Macaca fascicularis: one gene and its partners. The protein of the gene in region 7 interacts with the protein of the main gene of each other region in a biochemical or structural test. Links are inferred from orthologs where the notes say so. Each region holds a gene or a part of one and is shown on either strand. Other genes may lie near its edges.

Region 1 (2,315 bases), on a different chromosome or scaffold from region 7:
GCCGTGCAGCCCAATGAGGGTGACAACGACTATATCATCCCCCTGCCTGACCCCAAACCCGAGGTTGCTGACGAGGGCCCACTGGAGGGTTCCCCCAGCCTAGCCAGGTAACCACTGTGGCCTGGGGCCAAGGATATCGTGTGTGTGTGTGTGTGTGTGTGTGTGTGTGTGTGTGTGTGTGTGTGTTTGCCTGCATGCGTGCTGTCAGGCTTGCCTCAGAGGTAAGTTACCTAGGGTAAGTACTTATCCCTAACAACAAATAAAAGAGAGAATGGAACTCATTTGAACTTTGATGCCCTGAGGTGGAAAGGGCAGGTTAGTAAAAACAAAAGTATGGGCTGGGAATTATTTGCAAGGTAGCTATTTCCTTTAAGGGAGCCCCCAGAGGTTATCTATACTCTCTCATCTCTAGGTCCTGTCCTAGCCCCAAGGAGAAGAAGCAAACCTACTTAGCATCCCCAGCACCCCAGTTGTTACTCATGGCCAGCCAGAGGCCTATGTTCTGTTCTTCAGCACCATGCCCTGGGGCTGGAGAGAGCCTCCAGGGCTGCAGGAGTCAGAGGCGCCTACAGGAATTCAGGACAGAATTCAGATTGGGAAGGAGATTGTGGTTTTCTTTTGCCTTGGGAAGTGGTGAAGTTACAGCTCAGCGGGGGCTTTATAGGAGGACCCTGCTGTTGTGGGGACTTGATGTCCACATAGGATCTCCCCTTAACTGGAGAGAAGGGCTCCTCATGAGGCCACGCCCACCTCCAAAGCAAGATCCAGCCCAAGGTGAAGTGGCTGGAGCCCCAGGCTGGGGTACTGTCCCAACTCTGCCACTAGCCGCTATGAGACCTGGGAAGGCTTTTCCTCTGAGAGCCTCAGTTTCTCCATATGTGCCAGGGGTGCACACAGGCCTTAGAAGGCTCCCAAAGGCCCTCATTGCTCTAACTGTTGAAGAGACGAATCATCCAAGAGTTCCAGTGGATGGCGCAGAGGAGTGAAGTGCAGCTCTCCTACAGCTTGAGGTGTGAACGCAGAGGAGTGAAGTGCAGCTCTCCCACAGCTTGAGGTGTGAACGCAGAGGAGTGAAGTGCAGCTCTCCCACAGCTTGAGGTGTGAACGCAGAGGAGTGAAGTGCAGCTCTCCCACAGCTTGAGGTGTGAACGCAGAGGAGTGAAGTGCAGCTCTCCCACAGCTTGAGGTGTGAACGCAGAGGAGTGAAGTGCAGCTCTCCCACAGCTTGAGGTGTGAACGCAGAGGAGTGAAGTGCAGCTCTCCCACAGCTTGAGGTGTGAACGCAGAGGAGTGAAGTGCAGATCTCCCATAGCTTGAGGTGTGAATGCTCGCCCTGTTTTGTGCCCTCAGACAAGCTGCTTCACTGTGTAAACACTGGTGTCCTCTTCTTTTTTTTTTTTTTTTGAGATGGAGTTGCACTCTTCTTGCCCAGGCTGGAGTGCAGTGGTGCGATCTCGGCTCACCGCAACCTCCGCCCCCCGGTTCAAGCAGTTCTCCTGCCTCAGCCTCCCGAGTAGCTAGAATTACAGGCATGGAGCATCACACCCGGCTAATTTTGTATTTTTAGTAGAGACGGGGTTTCTCCGTGTTGAGGCTGGTCTCGAACCCCTGACCTCAGGTGATCTACCCGCCTCGGCCTCCCAAAGTGCTGGGATTTCAGGCGTGAGCCACCGCACTCGGCCGGTGTCCTCTTCTATAAAATATAAACAGTAAAAGTACTTCTATTAGGCAGTCATTGCAAGGATTAAATGAGATAGCATACACCTTTAGGGGTGCAGAGGAGGCAGATGCTAGTGGGTGAGAAATGAGCTTTGGAGCCAGCCAACCCTGCTCTGAAGTTCCAGCTCCTGCACTTCCCTGCTGTGTGAAGTGGGGCAGTGACATAACCTCTCTGAACCACACTTTCCTCACGGTGCAGGCATTGCATAGTTTTCACAAGAGTTAAATGAGCCGGAGTGTGTGAAGCCCATGGTGCAGGGGCAGACACACCGAAGGCTCTTCATGACTGCTGCTGTAATCCTCCTGGGCTCCTTCCTAGCCTGTCACTCACTGCCTCCTTCCTCTAGCTCCACCCTGAATGAAGTCAACACCTCCTCGACCATCTCCTGTGACAGCCCTCTGGAGCCCCAGGAGGAACCAGAGCCAGAGCCCCAGCTTGAGCGCCAGGTGGAACCAGAGCCAGAGCTGGAACAGCTGCCGGATTCAGGGTGCCCCGCGCCTCGAGCGGAAGCAGAGGACAGCTTCCTGTAGGGGGCTGGCCCCCACCCTGCCCTGCCCAAAGCTTCCCCTCTGCCAGTACCCAGCACCTCCTGGCC
Region 2 (3,500 bases), on a different chromosome or scaffold from region 7:
CTGTTATTTCTAGCTAATAGGAAGATGTCTTCAGGAAATGCTAAAATTGGGCACCCTGCCCCCAACTTCAAAGCCACAGCCGTTATGCCAGATGGTCAGTTTAAAGATATCAGCCTGTCTGACTACAAAGGTAAGAGAATTTACACTGGGCTCATTGAGATGGAGTTATTTTATATTCTAGGGATGGCTTGTTAGATTTGTGTCAGTGTTATGTTTGACTGTAAAACGTTTTGTCTCCTAGAAAGAAGTATTTAGGTTGTTACCTTCATGTTGAAGTAGTGATTATCAAGTGATTACAGGGTATATATCCTAGGACCAAACCACTTCTGGAGAAACCACATGCTTCATTATGTCTGGACATACTAGCTCAATTATCTTTTTAGTATTCCTCCTCTATTTTCTTTATTTATTTTTATTTTTGAGACAGGGTCTCATTCTGTCACCCAGGCTGGAGTGCAGTGGTGCAGTCATGGCTCACTGCAGCCTCTACCTCTCTGGACTCAGGCGATCCTCCCACCTCAGCCTCCCAAGTAGCTGGGACTGTAGGGGCAAGCCACCATGCCCGGCTAATTTTTGTGCTTTTTGTAGAGATGGGCACCATCTCCAACTCCTGGGCTCAAGCCCTCTACCTGCCCCAGCCTTTCAAAGTGCTGGGATAACAGGTGTGAGCTACTGCATCTGGCCCTCCTCTATTTTATTATTGGAGAAATTCGCATTATCTCTTGTTTTGTTTTGTTTTGTTTTTGAGACGGAGTCTCGCTCTGTCGCCCAGGCTGGAGTGCAGTGGCCGGATCTCAGCTCACTGCAAGCTCTGCCTCCCAGGTTTACGCCATTCTCCTGCCTCAGCCTCCCGAGTAGCGGGGACTACAGGCACCTGCCACCTCGCCTGGCTAGTTTTTTTGTATTTTTTAGTAGAGACGGGGTTTCACCGTGTTAGTCAGGATGGTCTCGATCTCCTGACCTCGTGATCCGCCCGCCTCGGCCTCCCAAAGTGCTGGGATTACAGGCTTGAGCCACCGCGCCCGGCTATCTCTTGTTATAAGAGACATTCTACATTTAAAGTCTCAGAACTCACTCAACTCTTTGGAGCTGTGACACTGCTTGTTCATTTGGGTCACATATATATTACAGTTGTTAATATTAAGCTGAGGGCTAGGCACTTTCCCTTGCCTGTTTTGACCCCAGAGGAGAGTTGATATTACAGATGGAACAACTCTCCTTTCTGTTGTCATAGTTTCATGCAGACACTTGGCAAGTTCTGTTGAGGCTCCTCCTTCCTTTACCTTGTAGTCCCAGAGCAGCTGGATCTCCTGGGACAGTTGAGGATATAGATTCCTTAGAATGCAAACCTGAAACTCAGGTGTCAAGTGTCCTTTTCTCAGTGGTGTAGCATCAGTTTCTGAAGTTAGTTTTTGCTAGAACATTTGACTAGGTTTCCTGACATAATCACAGTTTGTTGATGGGGCTTCTCCTAGCAAACAAGGTAAGTTGCACCGTAGGGAGGTGACCTTGGCCCAGGAGTATAAGCAGGAGGTCTAGGAGCAGCTGCTCTCTGCCCTCCAGGGTTTGACCTGCTGAGGCCCCATGGTGCTTGTTAGGCAAATCCCTGCAGGGGTTGTTTAGATGAGTTAGTTTCCAGTGATACTGCAAAGTGGTAATGTCTAAAAGGGCTGCTTGTTTGACTTTTTTTTTTTTTTGAGATGGAATTTTGCTCTTGTTGCATAGGCTGTAGTGCAGTGGCATGGTCTTGGGTCACTGCGACCTCCATCTCCCCAGTTCAAGTGATTCTCCTGGCTCAGCCTCCCGAGTAGCTGGGATTTCAGGCCCCCGCTATCACGCCCAGCTAATTTTTGTATTTTTAGTAGAGACACGTTTCACCATGTTGGTCAGGCTGGTCTTGAACTCCTGACCTCAGGTGATCCACCTGCCTCGGCCTACCAAAATGCTGGAATTACAGACATGAGCCACCATGCCAGGCTGAGCCACCACACCCAGCCTATTTGACTTTGCAAACATTGCTGCTACCTGGAAATGAGTGAATATTTGGAATTGTTCTGGTATTTAAGCCTGGTGGGTGTGGTGAAAAGGCTAGGCTGCCTGACCAGTTTGACGATCTGTTATTTCAGTGGTTAATCCCAGTGACTTCATTAAAATTGCAGCTAGAAGTTCTGTTACTCACTAGTACTTTTGTCTTTTCTCTGTCTCTCTCTGTGTATGTGTATGTATGTATTTTTTGTTGTTTTGAGACCGTCTTGCTCTGTTGCCCAGGCTGGCCTCAAACTCCTGGGGTCAAGGGATCCTCCCACCTCAGCCTCCCAAGTAGCTGGGACTACAAGCACGCACCACTGTGCCTGGCTTAAAATTTTTCCTGTCCTGTCAGGCACGTTAGGAACACATGTGATCACTTAAACCATGCTTGTTCCATTACTATGGTTCATCACGGGAGAAGTGCAAAGGCTCTGACTTCTTATTGGTGTCTTATCTCTACAGCAGAGGAGTGCTGCAATTCAGCTTCTCTGGGCGCTGTTTGTTAAGCGTTGGTATTAGGCCATGCTTATAAGTGCATTCTTGCTTTTGCTATCTTTGGAGAACTTGGTGTTTATGCTAATTTTAGCCACTCAGAAAAGATCAAAATTAGACTGAACAGTGTTTATTCTGTGGTTGGCAGCTAAGAATATGGAGGCAGGAGAATAAAGCATGGGATTGGAAGTTTCTTTCATTCAGGTTTTCCTAATGCACCAGGTTCTAAAAGTAGCTACTAGGAGACATCTATATCGAGCATCTTGGCATTTAGTGGTTATTGTGTCAGCCATCAACTTGCTTCTTTTTGTATAGGAAAATATAAAGCAAGGAAGTCTGTGTCAAATGCTAACCATGACTCCTGTTTTTCCCCCAGGAAAATATGTTGTGTTCTTCTTTTATCCTCTTGACTTCACCTTTGTGTGCCCTACGGAGATCATTGCTTTCAGTGATAGGGCAGAAGAATTTAAGAAACTCAACTGCCAAGTGATTGGTGCTTCTGTGGATTCTCACTTCTGTCATCTAGCATGGTAAATCTCTTGGTTCATTTGGCATATGAACTTTTTTTTTATTTTTTGAGATGGAGTCTCGCTCTGTCGCCCAGGCTAGAGGGCAGTGGTGTGATCTTGGCTCACTGCAAGCTCCGCCTCCTGGGTTCACGCCATTCTCCTGCCTCAGCCTCCAGAGTAGCTGGGACTACAGGTGCCCACCACCAGCCCGGCTAATTTTTTGTATTTTTAGTAGAGATGAGGTTTCATCGTGTTAGCCAGGATGGTCTCGATCTCCTGACCTCATGATCTGCCCGCCTTGGCCTCCCAAAGTGTTGGGATTACAGGTGTGAGCCACCGCACCTGGCCGCATGTGAACTTTTAAAACAGCAACTGGGAAGCTTTGGCAATAGACTTTCAAGTATTGGCTTCTCATGGAAGAAGTGCAAAGTCTGACTTTCTCTTACTGCTCATGACCTGGCAGCAGAGAAG
Region 3 (4,018 bases), on a different chromosome or scaffold from region 7:
TAATGAAGATAAGGAAACAGCCCCACTTTGCACACAAATTCAGACTAAAACGAACTGGCAAACCTCCATTTGATGCTTTAGTAGTAAAGGGGTGTGTTTTAGAAAAAAGAACTCTTACAATGTCTGTTAACATTTTTTTGCAATAACCGCACGGGCCATCTGTATGCTCAACACACAGGGTTGCGGGGATTTTCTGCTAGAGGGACTCAATGGTGTTGACTAGGAGTCAGTTTAAGGATCTGGGATTCAAACGCCGGGCATGAAGGAGTGCGGTTCAGCATTTAAAACTTTAATAAGAGGCTCAGATACTTCATGTCATTTCTACAATTCTAGAGAAGGCAGGCATCACATCGCCCAATGCCTCCATCTCACAGATGGGAGAACCAAAGCTCAGAAGTCCTGGGACTTGGCTGGTGATGGTGTCCCCAGGATTTGCTGGTGGCTCTTCTCTCATCTCTTGGCCTAACAAAGTACACACAAATGTAGGTGTCCCTCCAAAACATGCAGGAATCTGATTCTGTGCTTACCCAGGAAGCTCAAAGCTGCTGCCTTTGGGCACATGTGCTATGCCAGGCCTCCACATTAGCCTCCCAGGCCCTCTGGCACCCAGCGGCATAACCAAAAGGGCAAAGGGAGGAGCTGAATGAGACTGTAACTTGTGGGGGGTGGGGGTGGGTGAGTATTTGTGTGGGTTCCAAAGTCCAAAAAAAAAAAAAAAAGAATGTCAAATCGATCGATGGACTCAGCATAAAGTTCACACTGGATTTCTGCCTGGGACTGGAGATCATCAGCCCCAACTCCCTGGTGTCAACCCCCTTGCTACGGGTGCTCAGGTCCCTTCCCCCTCCCCTTGCCAATGCCAGGTTGGCAGGGGCAGGAAGTGGGAGCCTGGTGGCCCTGGCATTCCCAGCACCCACCTCTGGCTGGACAGGGCTTCTGGTGACCTCACTTCCACCAAGCCAGTTGATCCTCTAGGGCTTTGCCTTCTCCCTTAATGCCAAACTGTACCCTTTCTCTGTCCAGAAGGATCCTCCTGGTCCCCATGGACACTCCCATCAGACACTGCCACCAGGGCGAGCTGGTGCAAACTGAAGGGGCCCTGGGAGGCTCACGCCCTGCCCTACACAGTACACCACTCCACTCTCTGGGGACAGGAGGCTCAGCACAACTCCTGTTTTGCCAGCTGCCCCTCCTGCAGCTGATCCAAACTGGGATCCTATGGGCAAACACCAAACATGGGCAAAAAGCAACCGGCCTGCTGGCTGTGTGGGCACCAGAGTGACCGTGGCAAGGCCAGGGCAAGACCACCGGCTCACCGTGAGCTCCGCTGGCGCACACAGGGCCGTGAGCCTCAGGAGCTCTCTCCCCTCCCCCTAGCCATCTTTCTCTTCTTCTAAGGTCTTCCCCCTCCCCTCCCAGATACAGCTCTAGGCGCTTACTCCTCACATTCCTGAGAATCGTAAATCCTCTGAGGTGGCAGAACCACCACTCCGAGATGCCTTGGCTCCTCCTCCCCGCCAGGCAACCCCCACACCGCCCTGAGATGGTGGGGCTTCCTCTCCCTTAGAAGTCCCGGGAGGATGAAGTCCTGCAGGACTGAAGTTCAGGACACACACCGGCGGGCTGCGGGGAGGGCCTCCTTGCGCCGGGGCTCCACACAGGAGTAATGCTATTTCTCTAGCTTTTGACGTAGGAGTGGCGGGGGAAGCTGGCACCTCTGGGGAGGAGAGCCCTTCCTCCCTGGCCCATCTGCGGACTGGGGTGAACGAGGAGAGGGCGCCAGGGGACGGGCAGGATTGGGGGATTCCGAGGAAGGGGAGCAGACACCCGCAGACCCGAGGGAAGGGGGGCTGGGTTCCCCTGCGCCGCCCTCCCAAAGGCCAGGGAACAAGAGGTGCAGGCGGCAAAGGCTCTCAGGCTCCCAGCACAGCCTGGGAAGGAGAGGAGGTCGCGGGACGCAGCCCCAGGCCTGCCTAGGATGTGCCAGAGCGCCTGGTAGGCGGGCGGAAGCGGTCTCCCCCTCGCAGCTCGAGTTTCAGAAAAACGACGGCCGGCGCGGGGCTGGACGGCCGGGGCACCTGGGTCTCTCTAGATCCCCCTCCCACTCCATTCCAGCCTGCGCGGCCGGGGCCGAGCTTACCTGCTCCGGGTGGCTCTTGTCGGCCTCGCGAGGCTCATTTTCATTGCCAGCCCCCTGCGCCTCGGCGGCGGCCGCCGGCTCGGCCTGCCCCGGCGTTTCCTGGGCGCGCAGCAGCTCCTCTCGGACCTGGACGCCAAGCTTCTGCAGCTGCTCGTCCGTCTCGGGGTCGACCACCAGCAGGCGCACGGCGTTGAGTGCCGCGCGGATGCGGCTCACCACCTGCTGGTGGGTCTCCTTCTCCACATTTTCGCCGTTCACCTCCACCAGCCGGTCCCCCGCCAGCAGCCCCGCCTTCTCGGCCGGTGAGCCGGGCTCCACCAGCCGGATGTACTGGCCCAACTTGCCCTTCTCCCCGTGCAGGTGGAAGCCGTAGCCGTTCGGACCCTTCTCCAGGCAGCAGAGCCGGGGCAGGGGCGCCCCAGCCGCCGCGTCCGCGCTCATCTCGCCCTGCGACGGGTCAGCGGCGCGACTTGGGGTTCCGTTGGGGATGGGACGGGACGGCCCAGCCCTTCTTCCTGTCCGGCAAACCGGGAGCGCAGCGGGGAAGCCCTGAGCCGCCGGACGGGCGAAGCGAGCAGGTGTCCCAGGAACCGCCGGCCGCCGCGGGCCGCGAGGAGCCGAAAGAACTGCACGGACCAATCCCCGCCCCGCGCGGCGTCTGAGCGTCCCAGAGCCCGCCCCAGCTCCTTACCCCGGGGGCGGGGCCGCGCTGAGGGTGGGGACCTCCGCGGGCCAATAGGGTGCTGCGGGCCGGGGCGCTCCGTCCGGGTGAACGGCGCCGGCCAATGGGAACGCGCGGGGCGGGGCCTGTGCTCGGCACTGCGCCCCGCAGCGGGCGAAGACAGTGCGCTCAGGAAGTGGAAGTGTTTGTTACCGAGCGGCCGGCGCTGGGGTGGCAGGGGCGTGGCCCGCCGAGTTCCCGGTTCTGGGCGGTGGGGCCCGCTGGCTCAGGCCTGGTTTCCCCTACCTGTGGCGGGGAGTGAGGAGAGCTGGCCCTCGGATAAAGGGCTCTAACTTTTTTTTTTGTTTTTGAGACGGAGTCTCGCTCTGTCGCCCAGGCTAGAGTACGGTGGCGCGATCTCGGATCATTGCAACCTCCGCCTCCTGGGTTCAAGCGATTCTCCTGCCTCAGCCTCCCGAGTAGCTGGGATTACAGGCGCGCACCACCACGCCGGGCTAATTTTTGTATTTTTAGTAGAGACGGAATTTCGCCATGTTGGCCAGGATGGTTTCAAACTTCTGACTTCAGATGATCCGCCCTGGGATTACAGGCGTGAGCCACCGCACCTGGCCAACGTTTTAACAGCCTTTAGCCAAAGCCTGGGTGCAGCTCCAATTGAGAGGGAGAGGCTGTTGCCGTGGCAACCACTCCCGCGCTCGGGGCAGTGAGGGCCTAGCGGTCTCGAGAATTAAGACGGAGGGCCTCCTGGGAACCTACAGAGTTGTTTGAATAACATTTTTCCGGCCGGGCGCGGTGGCTCAAGCCTGTAATCCCAGCACTTTGGGAGGCCGAGGCGGGCGGATCACAAGGTCAGGAGATCGAGACCACAGTGAAACCCCGTCTCTACTAAAAAAAATACAAAAAATTAGCCGGGCGCGGTGGCGGGCGCCTGTAGTCCTAGCTACTCAGGAGGCTGAGGCAGGAGAATGGCGTGAACCCAGGAGGCGGAGCTTGCAGTGAGCCGAGATCGCGCCACTGCACTCCAGCCTGGGCAACAGCGTGAGACTCCGTCCCAAAAAAAAAAAAAAAACAAAAAAAGAATAACATTTTTCCGTTTGTGGGAACCCTAACCCTAATCCACTTTGTGCTGTCCCAGGACTTGCATAGAGGAGTGCAGGTTCTGATCCCTGCTGGGAAGATGAGGGCTCAGCGAAGGA
Region 4 (4,204 bases), on a different chromosome or scaffold from region 7:
CAATGAGCAGAGACCAAGCTATTCAGATTTATACTGGAAAACAGTTGGAATTCCAGGGCCCAAACACCAGGCTTTATGTTTTACTTTTAAAGTTTTACTTTCCAGTGTCATAAGTAACTTTTACACCCATCTGTACTAAAGTGAAAAAGATGCTTTTCCCAACTTTCAAAATCAAGTATCACTACACAGTAAAATATAATGCTTGTGAAGAACTATTGTAGAGTCAGACACACCTGGATTCAAATCTTCACTGATACTAGCGTGGGGTCCTTACACAGAATTTTTATAATGACAGGAAGACTATACAAAAAATAGATAAGTCTAACCAAGTTAGCAATGGGACACACATGAGGCAGCCAATACTTACTGACCCTCCTCTACTTATAAACCATTAAATGCTCACAAATTCATCAAGTAGACAAATAGACCTGGCCCTTTTGCACATTTCTGTGCTTGTTATTTATTAAGTTCCAAGGGGAGGGGATGTATTCATTTAGCAGAAACAAGGACCAAAAAAGACATTAACAGAATTGGATACTCACAGCTCGTTTTAAAACTGAAGTGTTCTGAGCTCTGGTCTGTCCCACCACTGACTGAGACCAACAATCCACTCTCCTGCCATCTCATCTACAAAGTGATGGCCATTTGCTCTGCTCTTCTCTAACAGCTCCCTGGGCCACCAATCAGACCCAGGAAGTGTTCTGAGAAGAGGAAAAAGCCCATGCAATTGCTGAATCACAAGCACAGTGCTACCAAGCCCTCAAGTGGCTATTAATGGTAAACAAAAAAAGATTTCTAACCCAAAGGTTAAAAATCTACTGGAGAGCATCGTGGAGTGGATACAGGAATAGGAGTAACTGTAACACATGGCTAACAAATCAACATCATATTTGTAACTCAAGGGATGGCCATGAACTCTTTAGAAGAGCAAGACATCCCAGGGTAGAGACAGACTAGGCAGGCACAGGAAAAAACTGCAAGAGCTGAAGTTAAAATGCATCAAATACCAGAAGTTCTAAAGCCGGACAGGACACAAACTGCAAGTATTTTGAGGCCTCCCCCTTTAAATCATACAGCTGACAGGAAAACTTATGAGGGGGTAGCCTGAGATTAAGTAATGAGCAATTAGCTGGGTGTGGTGGCGCACACCTATGATCCCAGCTCCTCGGGAGGCTGAGGCAGGGCAATCACTTGAGCCTGGGAAGTGGAGGTTGCAGTGAACAGAAAGATATGTGCCACTGCACTGCAGCCTGGGCAACAGAGTGAGATTACATCTCAAAAATAAATAAATAAAAATAAAATAATGAGCAGCTTCTCGTTTTCATTTTCTAATTTTTTTTTTTTTTTTTTTGAGAACCCAGGAGGCAGAGAGGTTGCAGTCAGCCAAGATCGTGCCATTGCACTCTCCAGTGTGGGCTGAGCGACAGAGGGAGACCCCATCTCAAAAAATAAATAAATAAATAAATCTAAAGTATGGAAATGACAAGATGATGGTCCCCCCTCCAACATAATATGAACAAAAACTTAAGATACTTATCTCACATTGCCTCTCAATGGAAAACAACCTTGAGGCCTTGAAAACTGATCCATTTTCCAATAAAGGAAAGAGTCCCCCCACTACTTATCAGTGTTAAGGTGGGCTCAGTGTTTACTCACCCTTTTTTCTGAGCTCTGGTTTGCCTTTCTTGACTGTGGCCATCACCATGTCACCCACACCAGCAGCGGGAAGTCTGTTCAGCCGTCCCTTGATCCCCTTCACGGAGATGATATACAGGTTTTTGGCTCCTACAAATCAATGTAAATAAAAATGAAAAATGTTGAGGGCCCATCAGGCCGTTCCATCAGTATTACATTTCCCAAACACTTCCAAAGTCCCTCCCTCCACTGACTGCCCAAGCAGTTAGTCCTCAAGAACGCCTTGTCACACCACCGATTGAAGCAAACAACACAACATGTTGCCACTTCACCCAAAAGCGATGTTTTCACTCTCCCCTTTCTTGACGGCTCAATAGGTCATTAGGCACAGGCCCATTGAGTGCTTTTAAAAGGGGGAGTATAGAAACCTGCAGTCAAAGACCTCACCTGTGTTGTCAGCACAATTGATCACAGCTCCTACCGGAAGACCCAAGGAAATCCGGAATTTCGCACCAGAGGACCCACCACGTCCTGTGGATATAAAGGGAAGGTAAACAGGATAAAGAGATCACTATCTAGACATGGTTCGCAGTTCCCTCTCATACTCTTAAACTGTAATTCACCGCACATACTTTGACAGATGGTATGCTATAGATTAGCTCGCTCGGATTTTACTTATGCCCTCCCCGTGTGCCACCCGATTCTCACGGAAAGTAGCCTATTTCTCACTATTACCACTCTGACATCGAAATTAAGGAACCTAGACGACTCAGCCCTTGTTCCAACTTTCGCAAAACGCAATTGCTCCTGCAAAGCATAAGACCGCAGAGGTCGCGCAAACCAGGGCCTAATCCAGTCTAACTTCAACCCCAATACGATAGCCCTATTCGCAGAGCGATCTCGCGGGATCCAGACTATATTCATGTCGGGATCCTGCTATGTCAACTCTCCAGCACCCCACTGCCACTTTCGAGGGCCCTGGCAGTGCTCTTGCGATGGCCTGGCTCTCCCTCTCCGGCCTGAAGGAGAGCAAAGCGCCCCAGCTGCCTAGGGCCACCGCTCCTGACGAATCCGCCAGCCACTGCACGACAGATGGTGGAGGATCCTCCAGAAGCAAAACCTCACCTCGCTTCGACATCTTGAACGCCGGAAAAAAGAAAAAAGGAAGTTGATTCAAAGGACGCTGGGATATGAACTTTGACGCCCCGCCCACCTTCGTCACGTGGCCGGAGCTAAAAACTCTGCCTCTTCCGCCTCTGGGCGCTGCCTTATTGCGTATTAAGTTCACGACGTTACTTTGAGCCCTCTCTGAAGTGGGCGTTGAAGTAGAAGCGCAAGAGATAGGAAATCTCTTCTCCAGGAGCTTAAGAGTAGTTAGGGACATGGAAGCAGTGATTTGTTAACTTGCTCACGACCTCTTTTGACAACTTAATACGTGCCAGGCACTTATCAGCACACTAGAGAATAGGAATTAAAACACGGTTTGTGCCGTGTGGGGGTTCCCAAAGAAACAAAGACAGTGGGGGAGGGGGGAGAACCAGCTCCAAACGGTTTCGTTCAATGTAATACAATTGAGAAGTGCTACAGATCATTCCATCTATGTGTTCTTGGTACCATACCATTCTGTATTTTACATATACAGTATTGCTCTGTTTATTGACCCGCCCCCCCCCCCCCCCCACACACACACACAGTTGTTTTTTGTTTTTTGTTTTCTTTTTTTTGAGACGGAGTCTCGCTCTTGCCCAGGCTGGAGTATAGTGGCGCGCTCTCAGCTCGCTGCAACCTCCGTCTCCCGGGTTCAAGCAGTTCTCTGTCTCAGCCTCAGAGTAGCTGAGACCACAGGCGCCCACCACAACGCTGGGCTAATTTTTGTATTTTTAGTAGAGATGGGGTTTCGCCATGTTGGCCAGGCTGGTCTCGAATTTCTAACCTCAAGTGATCTGCCCGCCTTGGCCTCTCAAAGTGCTGGGATTGCAGGCGTGAGCCCCCGCGCCAGGCCACTTGCTCCTTTCACAGCTTCAGCCGCCCCTTTCTTCTGGGTTCTTCCCGTGCCACGATGCATTCATTCAAATACTTACTGAGCTCCTACTTTGTAGCAGGTTCTGTCCAGGGCGTACAGCGGATTACATCAGACAACAAAATAGATCAATATTGTTGTCCTTATGGAGCTTACATTCTGCTGGGGTGCAGGTGGAGGAGGATATTAGACACTAAACAAAAGATATAATAAATAATTGCAGTATGTAGTATGTTAGATGGGGATAAGTATTATAAAAATATAAATAGTATCGCTTCTTGGCCTTTTGGCCAAGATCAAGTGTAAAATACAAATAGTGGCCGGGCCTGGTGGCTCACGCTTGTAATCCCAGCACTTTGGGAGGCCGAGGCGGGTGGATCACGAGGTCAGGAGATTGAGACAAGCCTGGCCAACACAGTGAAACCCCGTCTCTACTAAAAATACAAAAATTTTCTGGGCGTGGTGGCACGCGCCTGTAATCCCAGCTACAGCTACTCGGGAGGCTGAGGCAGGAGAATCGCTGGAACCCGGGGGGCGGAGGTGGCAGGG
Region 5 (4,245 bases), on a different chromosome or scaffold from region 7:
TAAAACTTTCCATTTTCTTGCCTGTAAAATACGATTATTAGACAAGATCACCTCTAAGATCATTTTCCAGGTCTAAAATTCTGATTCCATGAATGCCAAGTTTAAACAGAAGTCTATATTAAGGGACTGAATGTTCTTACACACAGCAGAATCCTTCACACACTTTCAATGACTTCAGAGACATACAAGTCAAATACAGAAGCAAGCTAACAGTAACTCAGTCATACCTTTTAGGTCCTGAAACATTTTTGCAACATCTTTTAACAGTTAATGCTATTAAGCTGTGAAGCAATGTTCTCAAAAGCCACTGAAATGATACTGAAAGTTTTTTGGTTACTAGGTATTTTAGGAAAGGATCCTGGCCTATGAAAAACACACACGCACTGAAGATGTTCAAGTTACCGAACGCCTCATAGAGAATTAAGTACATCATTTTCTTAAGTTTAAAATAACTGAATCAAGAGGAGCATAAAGCCTAGCTGGCATAATAGTTACAAAGTTTTAATTCCCACCTATTAAAGCCTGAAAGAGGTTGCTCTGAAATATGTTAATAACCCGTTCTATGGAACTTCTGAGCTGTCTGTCTTCAGTTTGGCTTAGTTTTGAACGATATTCTTCCAAAAGGTGCAATGCTCTCTGGGTATCTGAGAAGAAAAAGCAGAGCCTGATTAAAACTCTCTATTTACAAAAAAAGTATCACACACTAGTGCAAATAATTCTGCATGACACCTAAACAGTTCCCCAAATCCTTCAGGTCAACTGATGTCACTATGTTCATGTACACATATTCCTTAGAATGACCAAAAAATAAAAAAAAATTAAAGACAAGAAAAATTTAAACATATATCACATTAGAAAACGGAGGAGAGTGAGCAGTTTGGAATAAATATGTACTGTTAGTTTGCCAAAGTAAAAGATCAAAGTATTAGCAACAGTTTCAGATTACCTGATATGCAAAAGCAGATAATCTACATTTTGTCATTAAAATCCAAATTTTTAACATTTCAAAATACAAATTCTTAGTATCCCACGGTTGCCCACAGAATAGTGCTTAGTAAGAATGATGAAGTGAAATACTAAAACACCAATGCAGAGTTTTTAAGGACATCTGTGGAGGGGGGGGGTGTTAATTGCCTCTCTTAATCACCAGAGAAATGTTAAGAAAGTTTAACAAACATTTTCCTGTTTCCATCTTCTGAAATGATGTGAGACTTACATCCCCTAACCAATAAAGCTAGGACCGTGCTGTCTCATCAAAGTTACACAAACTATTCTAAAACACCAATCAAAAAACTGACATACGGAAAAGCCAAGTGACATCAACAGAGTTATGGAATAAACTCTCACCTTGCTTCCGGACCGGCATTTTTCTCCAGAATCAGGAAGAGGGCACACACCTTTAAAAACACACAACAGAAAGGAAAAAGGATAGAATCATGTTAAACTAGCATTTCCCCCTATCGAAATAGAAAACCCTCGCAGCCCTATTGGAAAACCCCACGTTCCAAAGTTTTACCAAGTCAAAGAAAGAGTCTCAAAACGCAGCAGTTGTCTGTCAATGTGGAAAGCTTCTCCCTGGAGTGGGTACCCCTCCAAATTAAGAACAGAGAGAAGTCGGTGTTCAAACTCTCCTCGAAAGCGTCCCCCTCCCCAAAGAGCGTAGACCTGAGGCCGCCTCTTCCCCCGGCACAAGTATCCACGCTCCCCACCTGCTACTGGGGACGGGCCGGTGAAGCGCTCCGACCCTTGGCCCCTGAGCCAGCAGCGGCCGCAGAGCGCTGAGAGGGGACCGGCGGGACTGGCCGCCCGCCCTGCCCGGGCCCCCTCCTCCGCTTGCCTTTCTCCTTGCTCGCTGCCTCCGGGCTGCTCCAGCGGGGGCCGGACAGGGCAGCGGCCGCTCTCCGCGACGCCCTCGCGCCCCGCATGCACACCTCCGCGGGCCCCCACACCTGCGGCGCCGCCACAAAGTTCCCGCGAGCGGCGTGCGCTCGGAACTGGGGTGCGCTCCGGCCAGACTCGGAGCAGCTCCCCGGCCCGGCCCCGCTCCACGTACCCCCGCCCCGCCCGGGGCCCGAGGAGCCGAGCGGAGGGGGTGAAGGGACGGGGGAGGAGCTCCCTTGGGCCGCCGCACCCCCGCGGCCTCTTCCTCCTTCTAGGTCGCGCCGCCTCCCCGCTCGCCGCGGCCCACCGGCCCGCTCGCCCTGTTGCCGCCTGCCCGCCCCACCCCCGGAACCTCGCCTCCTTCCGCGCCCCCAACCGCTCTCCCCCTAAACTTTCCGCCAAGATGGCGGCCCCCGAGCTGGCCTGCCGCGCTCCCACGTGACCGCCTTCCCGGCGCTCTCAGCCAATGGGAAGTGAGGAGGCGGCTCGCGCCGAGCCCCGGGCTCCCCGCGCTGCTACCTTCGGGTTGGAAGGGGGAGGCGGGTCGGGAGAGGGCTGGGGAACGGAAGGGGGACACGGGGAGCATCCTGAGGGAACCCCCTCGCTTAAAAGGGCGGCCGCTGAAGTGGCTCTGAGAACAAAGGAGTTAACACGCGGACTCCACAGGTGGCCCGGGGTGGCCCTGGAGGAGCCCGCCTTTACCTTGCCCGAGCCCACCGGCGTGTCCCGCAGTTCCGAGCTAAACGCGCCAGGCCGGGAAGGCTCGGGCTGTCTGAAGAGAGGCGTGACCTCGCCTACACCAGAGCCAAGGCGCACATTCCGAGACACCCCTTAACCTCATTCAACACGTGCCGTTTCCAACTCCGCTGCGGAGAGAGCGCCTGGCGACCCCAGGGGTAGATCCCATCGGGGAAAAGCCGCCTTAAGGAGGAGCCAACTGCACCTCCCAGGGGGCGGGGAGGGCGGGGCCTGGGAGAGGGAGAGGGAGGAGTTCGGGGAGGGGTGCCAACTCTGCATTGCCTTCCACTCCAGGCTGCTTGTTAAGTTCCTATTCGTCCCTTAGTAATAGGCTTGGCGGGAGGGGGTTCATTAAAGAAGGACATGTAAAATAGAGACACTGGGTAATGTGGCAAGAGTTTGAGGGTTATACTACAAGATTTTTAAGCCTAAGTGATAAATTCCAAGTATGGTATACTTCAGGGTGGGGAGAGAAGGTTTGTTCATTCATTCGTTCATTCATTCATTCATTCATTCCCCCAAGCCTGCGTCCCAGCCCGGTCAGCATCGCAGGTGTTACCCAAACGCTGACGGTCCCTTTAAGAACTCACCTGGAGTCGCGCCCTCCGAAGCTGAGCCGCCCTCGGCCAGCGCTGCAGGTTTAAGTTTCGAGCGCACCTGTGAGCGGAACCACGGGCCAGCTGGGACCCCGCTCCCGGGCTGAGCCACCCAGGTTATAGAAGGGGAGTCTCGGGAAGCTCTCCAAGTCACTGCCCAGGTCTTCGAACCTCCTCTGGGTGACAAGGACCTCCCTATTCGGAGTTCCAGAGAGAACTTGCCCAAAGTTACCCCGAGTGAGTGACAGAACTGGAAACCCGGAGATCCTGTCTTTCAAAGCCGGAAGGCTCTTCCCAGTAAGCCTGACGGCCTCTGAGGCCGTATCCATTGGCCACTAAAGGGAAGGCCGAGGAACCTCGTATTGTAACCTTAAAGCTACTCGCAGGTATACTGACCACTGGTTGAATTTTGGATTGCACCTTAGAATCCTAACTTATTGTAAGGACCCACCGACTTTAGAACCTATCTAGGACAAGGAACGGAGGTCCAGAAAAGGGAAGCAACTTGTCCAAGGACGTAGAAGCTAATCCGTAACAGAGCAGCCCAGAACTTAGGTCTCCTAGCTCTAGTCAGGGCTCTTTCTATTGTGATTTTGGACAACTTGACAGAGAGGTATGTTGGTATGTTGGCAGCAGACCTCTGTGCTTTCCCGGATCAAGCATCCTGGGATCTTGAACAACAGTTAAAGCAACATTGCATAGAGAAGATGGGATAGAAGGGTCAAACAGTCCTGAAAGCAGGGGTGTCCTAAAAGCCAGGAACTTAACAGAGGGATGGAAGTTGTTTAATAGTGAAAATGGCTCATGGCATGCATGATACTCTCAAGACTTCGTTGATGGACTGTGAATGGAATGGTTGCAATAAGAAACCGTTCTAAGAATGGAATCACTTCAGAATTCAGGAGAAAGAGGGAGGGAAATTTGCCCTCTCCCTTGATGACATTTATTGTTCATATATGTTCACTTGCTAGGAAACGGGGATAGAAATAAATAAGATCCAAGTCCTGCTCTCAAGGATACACAGCCTCGT
Region 6 (3,500 bases), on a different chromosome or scaffold from region 7:
ACATTTTTTTTTTTTTTTTTTTTTTTTTTGAGACGGAGTCTAGCTCTGTTGCCCAGGCTGGAGTACAGTGGCACGATCTTGGCTTACTGCAACTTCTGCCTCCCAGGTTCAAGTGATTCTCCTGCCTCAGCCTCCTGAGTATCTGGGATTATAGACACCTGCCACCATGCCTGGCTAATTTTTGTATTTTTAGTAGAGATAGGGTTTCACCACGTTGGTCAGTCTGGTCTTGAACTCCTGACCTCGTGATCCACCTGCCTTGGCCTCCCAAAGTGCTGGGATTACAGATGTGAGCTGGAAAGCCACTGAGAATTCCTGAGTAAAGGCTTTTTTTCCCCCTGAAAAAACAACTTTTTTTTTTCCCCTTCCTGGTTACAACAGTGTTCTTTGTGGAAAATATAGAAAACACAAAGGAGAACATCAAAATCCCCCTTAATGCCACCCCCCTGCAAACAGCCAGTGTTTTTTTTTTTTTTTTGTCGCCCAGGCTGGAGTGCAGTGGCATGATCTTGGCCCACTGCAACCTCAGCCTTCCAGATTCAAGCGATTCTCCTGCCTCAGCCTCCTGAGTAGCTGGGATTACAGGCGCCCACCACCACGCCTGGCTAATTTTTTGTATTTTTAGTAGAAGTGGGGTTTCACCATGTTGGCCAGGCTGGTCTCGTACTCCTGACCTCAGATGATCCGCCCGCCTCTGCCTCCCAAAGTGCTGGGATTGCAGGCATGAACCACCGCGCCCGGCCAACAGCCAGTGTTCATAGTTTGGCATCTGCCCTTCCCGTCACTTTCCAGGTCTTATGTTAATTCTCTACATGCCCTTCCGTAAGCAGCGTTTTCACTTAAATGTTTTGCCACATCGTTACATCTGTTAACAGAGCATGATTTCTGTTTTATTTGTACCTAATTTATATGAGTGTATTTATATAATCATATTGTACATGTTTTCATTTTTCTGGGGCAGCCCTTTATTTTTTTCCCTTTCTCTTTTGATTGGCTTCTCCTCCTCCTTTCTTTTCATTCTATGAATTTCTCTCCCATGGTTTTTAATTTAATAATATTGACATAGTAATCCATGATGAACTGTATTTTATTTTACCAATCCCCATTTTTGGACTTTAGATAAATTCCCGTGTTTTGCTATTAAAGTGCATTGGTGAATGGGCATGCCCAGAGGAAATGTTTAATAAAGCCAACTGTTTACACCAGGTTTAGAGTTCATTTTCTAGTAAGTCTTAGTGGCTCAATATTCAAGCATTTACTAACCTGATACAATCCATCCTTCAGAGGAACCGCATCGGCTCGGAAAACCCAAGCGATGTTTTTCGTTTTTTGGTGGAAGAACGCATTCAGTGCTGTCAGACCCGGAAAGTCCGCTACACGGAGAGGGTGGATTACCTGATGCAGTTACCTGTGGCCATGGAGGCGGCAACCAACAAGGGTAACAATTCCAAAGCGGGAAGTTAGTACTGTGTGTCTTCATATGGGAAAACCCTTGAATCAGAGAGAATGGTTTAGTCACTGAAGTGTGTCAGGAGTAGACCCAGCCCAGATGATGTCTGCTTTGCTCATCTCTTTTCATCTCTTTGTTAGTTCCCATGTGACTTTTCCTTTGAGAAGAATCAAATGCATCACAGGTTTTATGGAGGCGTTATGGTTCGAACCTACTTCACTGCCTATAAATTTGGCCAACTACTGAGTATGGAGTCAGCATAATTTTGGGGAAAATTATTGGTAATGATATATGTAGAAAATTCTTTAACACTGTCATTTATAAGTTGTGCTATAAAGTCTGAGGGAAATGATCAGGACTGTATTTTTTAAAGTTAGACATTTGAGCAGAGGTCTCTTGAAATAATCCGGCTTTGGCACATGAGTATTTCAGCCACCTCTTCTGGGAGATAAATTGTGTCAGGGTTCTTTGTAAAGGCAAAGCCCATTAGAAGGGTCTCTGGACTTTGGAAGAGAGAAGGAGGCAGAGATGTGGCATTCATGTTTGGTGCCTTCTCCTTCCATCAGTCTAATCTGGTTCTTCCTAGGCAGAATAGACAAATGGTATTTCTTTGAATTAACATCGTATAAGCAAAATAGATAAAATAGCTGCTGGATTGCTCATCTCCTGTGAACCAGTCATTTTTGTAAAGTTCGGCAATTCCACTCTGCAGCCATAAAAAGGAATGAGATTATGTCCTTTGCACATGGATGAAGCTGGAAGCCATCATCCTCAGCAAACTAACACAGGAACAGAAAACCAAACACCGCATGTTCGCATTCATAAGTGGGAGTTGAACATTGAGAACACATGGACAAAGGGAGGGGAACATCACACACTGGGGCCTCTTGGGGGGTGGAGGGAAAGGGGAGGGAATTTAGAGGACAAGACAATAGGTGCAGCAAACCACCGTGGCACATGTATACCTGTGTAACAGACCTGCACGTTCTGCACATGTATCCTGTTTTTTTTTTTTTTTTTAGAATAAAGAAAAAAAAGTTCAGCAAATCCCTGGATGGCCCATTTTCCTCTTTCTTGTGTGTGGGGAGTCATGGGTCAGTTTATGATGTTAACTGAAAAGTGATGATTATGATGATTTGAGATGAAATGATTTTCATTTTCTATATGCTCATGCAGTTTTTGATCAATTTCAAAATCTTTCCAGTGTAGAAACAAGGGAATGGGAGTCTGTTGTTTGTTTCCTTGTTAGAACTAGGCTTCAGTGGTTTCTCTTGTCTACCTCAGGGTTACTGACTCACATGTCTGCTCAGGTCCATGATCTTTTCTAATTCTGTTTATCATTTATTAGTGATAACTATTTTTTTTTCAGAAAGGAGATTTATAATTTAGTCTCTGGAATTTGACTGCTGGGAATATCTAATGTTAGCAACCTAGATATAAGTACATCATAAACTGACTGGGGACAGGGGAATGAATTTTAAAAGCATCTAAGATGTGTTTAGGAAAACAGATATGTGTGTAAGTGTACTTACAAACTGATAAATCAGGAGTTTTTTTGTTTGTTTTTTTTTTCTTTTTTGGGTAATACAAAAGAAATGACCAGAAAGGCCATTCAGATCTATATAAAATTTTGACTACAGGCTAGTTTCCAGGACCAGATCTGCTGGTGCTTGGGAGCTTCCTCTTTTTCCCTTTGTATTTAATCATTTGAGTAGGAATAGCACAGAGGCCTTCGAGGTTGGTAGCCCTATGTCTGAGGTGTTGGGTAACCTCCACAGGAAGTTGTCTTGGCAGTGTTGGTTACTGTCATGGGTGTGTGATGGTGGCTAACTGCAGTCCTGTAGTTATCCTCCTCCTTGGCCTCACACCTCTGTGGGACCCATGACCTCTAATCATAGCTGCTGGTGGAACCAAATCAGAAAATGTATAACACCGCATCTGGTTCTTGGTTCTTGTCAGGCGCTTAGCAGTGGTTTTTTTTTTTTTTTTTTTTTTTTTTCCTGCCTTTGGTTATTTTATTTTAAAACAGCTTAGAGTTAACAGGAATGTT
Region 7 (2,981 bases):
AACAGTAGAGGAGCCGTCAAATCCAGAGGCTAGCAGTTCAACTTCTGTAACACCAGATGTTAGTGACAATGAACCTGATCATTATAGATATTCTGACACCACTGACTCTGATCCAGAGAATGAACCTTTTGATGAAGATCAGCATACACAAATTACAAAAGTCTGAATTTTTTTTTTATCAAGAGGGATAAAATACCATGAAAACAAACTTGAATAAACTGAAAATGGACCTTTTTTTTTTTAATGGCAATAGGACATTGTGTCAGATTACCAGTTATAGGAACAATTCTCTTTTCCTGACCAATCTTGTTTTACCCTATACATCCACAGGGTTTTGACACTTGTTGTCCAGTTGAAAAAAGGTTGTGTAGCTGTGTCATGTATATACCTTTTTGTGTCAAAAGGACATTTAAAATTCAATTAGGATTAATAAAGATGGCACTTTCCAATTTTATTCCAGTTTTATAAAAAGTGGAGACAGACTGATGTGTATACGTAGGAATTTTTTCCTTTTGTGTTCTGTCACCAACTGAAGTGGCTAAATACTGGTTCACATCCTACCCCTTTGCACTTGTGGCAACAGATAAGTTTGCAGTTGGCTAAGAGAAGTTTCCGAAGGGTTTTACTACATTCTAATGCATGTATTCGGGTTAGGGGAATGGAGGGAATGCTCAGAAAGGAAATACATTTTATGCTGGACTCTGGACCATATACCATCTCCAGCTATTTACACACACCTTTCTTTAGCATGCTACAGTTATTAATCTGGACATTCGAGGAATTGGCCGCTGTCACTGCTTGTTGTTTGCGCATTTTTTTTTTAAAGCATATTGGTGCTAGAAAAGGCAGCTAAAGGAAGTGAATCTGTATTGGGGTACAGGAATGAACCTTCTGCAACATCTTAAGATCCACAAATGAAGGGATATAAAAATAATGTCATAGATAAGAAACACAGCAACAATGACTTAACCATATAAATGTGGAGGCTATCAACAAAGAATGGGCTTGAAACATTATAAAAATTGACAATGATTTATTAAATATGTTTTCTCAATTGTAACGACTTCTCCATCTCCTGTGTAATCAAGGCCAGTGCTAAAAGTCAGATGCTATTAGTACCTACATCAGTCAACAACTTACACTTATTTTATTAGTTTTCAATCATATACCTGCTGTGGATGCTTCATGTGCTGCCTGCAAGCTTCTTTTTTCTCATTAAATATAAAATATTTTGTAATGCTGCACAGAAATTTTCAATTTGAGATTCTACAGTAAGCGTTTTTTTTCTTTGAAGATTTATGATGCACTTATTCAATAGCTGTCAGCTGTTCCACCATTTTGACCTTACACATTCTATTACAATGAGTTTTGCAGTTTTGCACATTTTTTAAATATCATTAACTGTTAGGGAATTTTACTTGAATACTGAATACATATAATGTTTATATAAAAAAGGACATTTGTGTTAAAAAGGAAATTAGAGTTGCAGTAAACTTTCAACGCTGCACAAAAAAAAAAGGACATTTGATTTTTCAGTAGAAATTGTCCTACATGTGCTTTATTGATTTGCTATTGAAAGAATAGGGTGTTTTTTGTTTTTGTTTTTGTTTTTTTTTTTTTAAATGTGCAGTGTTGAATCATTTCTTCATAGTGCTACCCCGAGTTGGGACTAGGGCTTCAATTTCACTTCTTAAAAAAATTTCATCATATATTTGATATGCCCAGACTGCATACGATTTTAAGCGGAGTACAACTACTATTGTAAAGCTAATGTGAGGATACTATTAAAAAAGGATTTTTTTTTTCCAGAAATTTGGTGTCTTCAAATTATACCTTCACCTTGACGTTTGAATATCCAGCCATTATATTTCTTAATGGTATAAAATTCCATTTTCAATAACTTATTGGTGCTGAAATTGTTCACTAGCTGTGGTCTGACCTAGTTAATTTACAAATACAGATTGAATAGGACCTACTAGAGCAGCATTCATAGAGTTTGATGGCAAATAGATTAGGCAGAACTTCATCTAAAATATTCTTAGTAAATAATGTTGACATGTTTTCCATACCTTGTCAGTTTCATTCAACAATTTTTAAATTTTTAACAAAGCTCTTAAGATTTACACATTTATATTTAAACATCGATGAGTATTGATTGATTACTCCTAAGTTAAATTGGTAAAGTTAGAGACAACTATTCCTAACACCTCACCATTGAAATTTATATGCCACCTTGTCTTTCATAAAAGCTGAAAATTGTTACCTAAAATGAAAATCAACTTCATGTTTTGAAGATAGTTATAAATATTATTCTTTGTTACAATTTTGGGCACCGCATATTAAAACATTTATTGTTCCAGTATGTAACATGGAGGGCCAGGTCATAAATAATGACATTATAATGGGCTTTTGCACTGTTACTATTTTTCCTTTGGAATGTGAAGGTCTGAATGAGGGTTTTGATTTTGAATGTTTCAATGTTTTTGAGAAGCCTTGCTTACATTTTATGGTGTAGTCATTGGAAATGGAAAAATGGCATTATATATATTATATATATAAATATATATTATACATACTCTCCTTACTTTATTTCAGTTACCATCCCCATAGAATTTGACAAGAATTGCTATGACTGAAAGGTTTTCGAGTCCTAATTAAACCTTTATTTATGGCAGTATTCATAATTAGCCTGAAATGCATTCTGTAGGTAATCTCTGAGTTTCTGGAATGTTTTCTTAGACTTTTTGGATGTGCAGCAGCTTACATGTCTGAAGTTACTTGAAGGCATCACTTTTAAGAAAGCTTACAATTGGGCCCTGTACCATCCCAAGTCCTTTGTAGCTCCTCTTGAACATGTTTGCCATACTTTTAAAAGAGTAGTTGAATAAATAGCGTCACCATTCTTTGCTGTGGCACAGGTTATAAACTTAAGTGGAGTTTACCGGCAGCATCAAATGTTTCAGCTTTAAAAAATTAGGGTA

The links.
Region 1: the proteins of PTEN (region 7) and PDGFRB form a complex in vitro, tested with the Homo sapiens proteins (2 studies listed by BioGRID and IntAct, with this or other methods). The link is inferred for Macaca fascicularis from reciprocal best matches to the Homo sapiens genes PTEN and PDGFRB.
Region 2: the proteins of PTEN (region 7) and PRDX1 form a complex in vitro, tested with the Homo sapiens proteins (2 studies listed by BioGRID and IntAct). The link is inferred for Macaca fascicularis from reciprocal best matches to the Homo sapiens genes PTEN and PRDX1.
Region 3: the proteins of PTEN (region 7) and NHERF1 form a complex in vitro, tested with the Homo sapiens proteins (3 studies listed by BioGRID and IntAct). The link is inferred for Macaca fascicularis from reciprocal best matches to the Homo sapiens genes PTEN and NHERF1.
Region 4: the proteins of PTEN (region 7) and RPL23 form a complex in vitro, tested with the Homo sapiens proteins (2 studies listed by BioGRID). The link is inferred for Macaca fascicularis from reciprocal best matches to the Homo sapiens genes PTEN and RPL23.
Region 5: the proteins of PTEN (region 7) and DLG1 form a complex in vitro, tested with the Homo sapiens proteins (2 studies listed by BioGRID and IntAct, with this or other methods). The link is inferred for Macaca fascicularis from reciprocal best matches to the Homo sapiens genes PTEN and DLG1.
Region 6: the proteins of PTEN (region 7) and USP13 form a complex in vitro, tested with the Homo sapiens proteins (3 studies listed by BioGRID, with this or other methods). The link is inferred for Macaca fascicularis from reciprocal best matches to the Homo sapiens genes PTEN and USP13.

What each region holds. Positions count from the first base shown.
Region 1 is NC_088380.1:157,000,395-157,002,709, reverse strand, and holds part of PDGFRB (platelet-derived growth factor receptor beta), read left to right. Parts: coding exon 1-107; intron 108-412; coding exon 413-986; 3' UTR 987-2,066; coding exon of another isoform or gene 2,067-2,250; 3' UTR 2,251-2,315. UniProt on the Homo sapiens protein: Tyrosine-protein kinase that acts as a cell-surface receptor for homodimeric PDGFB and PDGFD and for heterodimers formed by PDGFA and PDGFB, and plays an essential role in the regulation of embryonic development, cell proliferation, survival, differentiation, chemotaxis and migration.
Region 2 is NC_088375.1:189,202,978-189,206,477, forward strand, and holds part of PRDX1 (peroxiredoxin-1), read left to right. Parts: intron 1-13; 5' UTR 14-24; coding exon 25-130; intron 131-2,896; coding exon 2,897-3,050; intron 3,051-3,500. UniProt on the Homo sapiens protein: Thiol-specific peroxidase that catalyzes the reduction of hydrogen peroxide and organic hydroperoxides to water and alcohols, respectively.
Region 3 is NC_088390.1:81,120,969-81,124,986, reverse strand, and holds the start of NHERF1 (Na(+)/H(+) exchange regulatory cofactor NHE-RF1), read right to left. Parts: upstream 2,801-4,018; 5' UTR 2,582-2,800; coding exon 2,141-2,581; intron 1-2,140. UniProt on the Homo sapiens protein: Scaffold protein that connects plasma membrane proteins with members of the ezrin/moesin/radixin family and thereby helps to link them to the actin cytoskeleton and to regulate their surface expression. Necessary for recycling of internalized ADRB2.
Region 4 is NC_088390.1:59,850,097-59,854,300, forward strand, and holds the start of RPL23 (large ribosomal subunit protein uL14), read right to left. Parts: upstream 2,801-4,204; 5' UTR 2,774-2,800; coding exon 2,761-2,773; intron 2,167-2,760; coding exon 2,083-2,166; intron 2,052-2,082; exon of another isoform or gene 1,917-2,051; intron 1,786-1,916; coding exon 1,657-1,785; intron 1-1,656.
Region 5 is NC_088376.1:2,756,722-2,760,966, forward strand, and holds the start of DLG1 (disks large homolog 1), read right to left. Parts: upstream 2,801-4,245; 5' UTR 2,734-2,800; exon of another isoform or gene 2,584-2,733; intron 2,282-2,583; exon of another isoform or gene 1,710-2,281; intron 1,654-1,709; exon of another isoform or gene 1,517-1,653; intron 1,398-1,516; 5' UTR 1,367-1,397; coding exon 1,348-1,366; intron 645-1,347; coding exon 513-644; intron 1-512. UniProt on the Homo sapiens protein: Essential multidomain scaffolding protein required for normal development. Recruits channels, receptors and signaling molecules to discrete plasma membrane domains in polarized cells.
Region 6 is NC_088376.1:91,516,311-91,519,810, forward strand, and holds part of USP13 (ubiquitin carboxyl-terminal hydrolase 13), read left to right. Parts: intron 1-1,284; coding exon 1,285-1,438; intron 1,439-3,500. UniProt on the Homo sapiens protein: Deubiquitinase that mediates deubiquitination of target proteins such as BECN1, MITF, SKP2 and USP10 and is involved in various processes such as autophagy, endoplasmic reticulum-associated degradation (ERAD), cell cycle progression or DNA damage response.
Region 7 is NC_088383.1:96,836,842-96,839,822, forward strand, and holds part of PTEN (phosphatidylinositol 3,4,5-trisphosphate 3-phosphatase and dual-specificity protein phosphatase PTEN), read left to right. Parts: coding exon 1-166; 3' UTR 167-2,981. UniProt on the Homo sapiens protein: Dual-specificity protein phosphatase, dephosphorylating tyrosine-, serine- and threonine-phosphorylated proteins.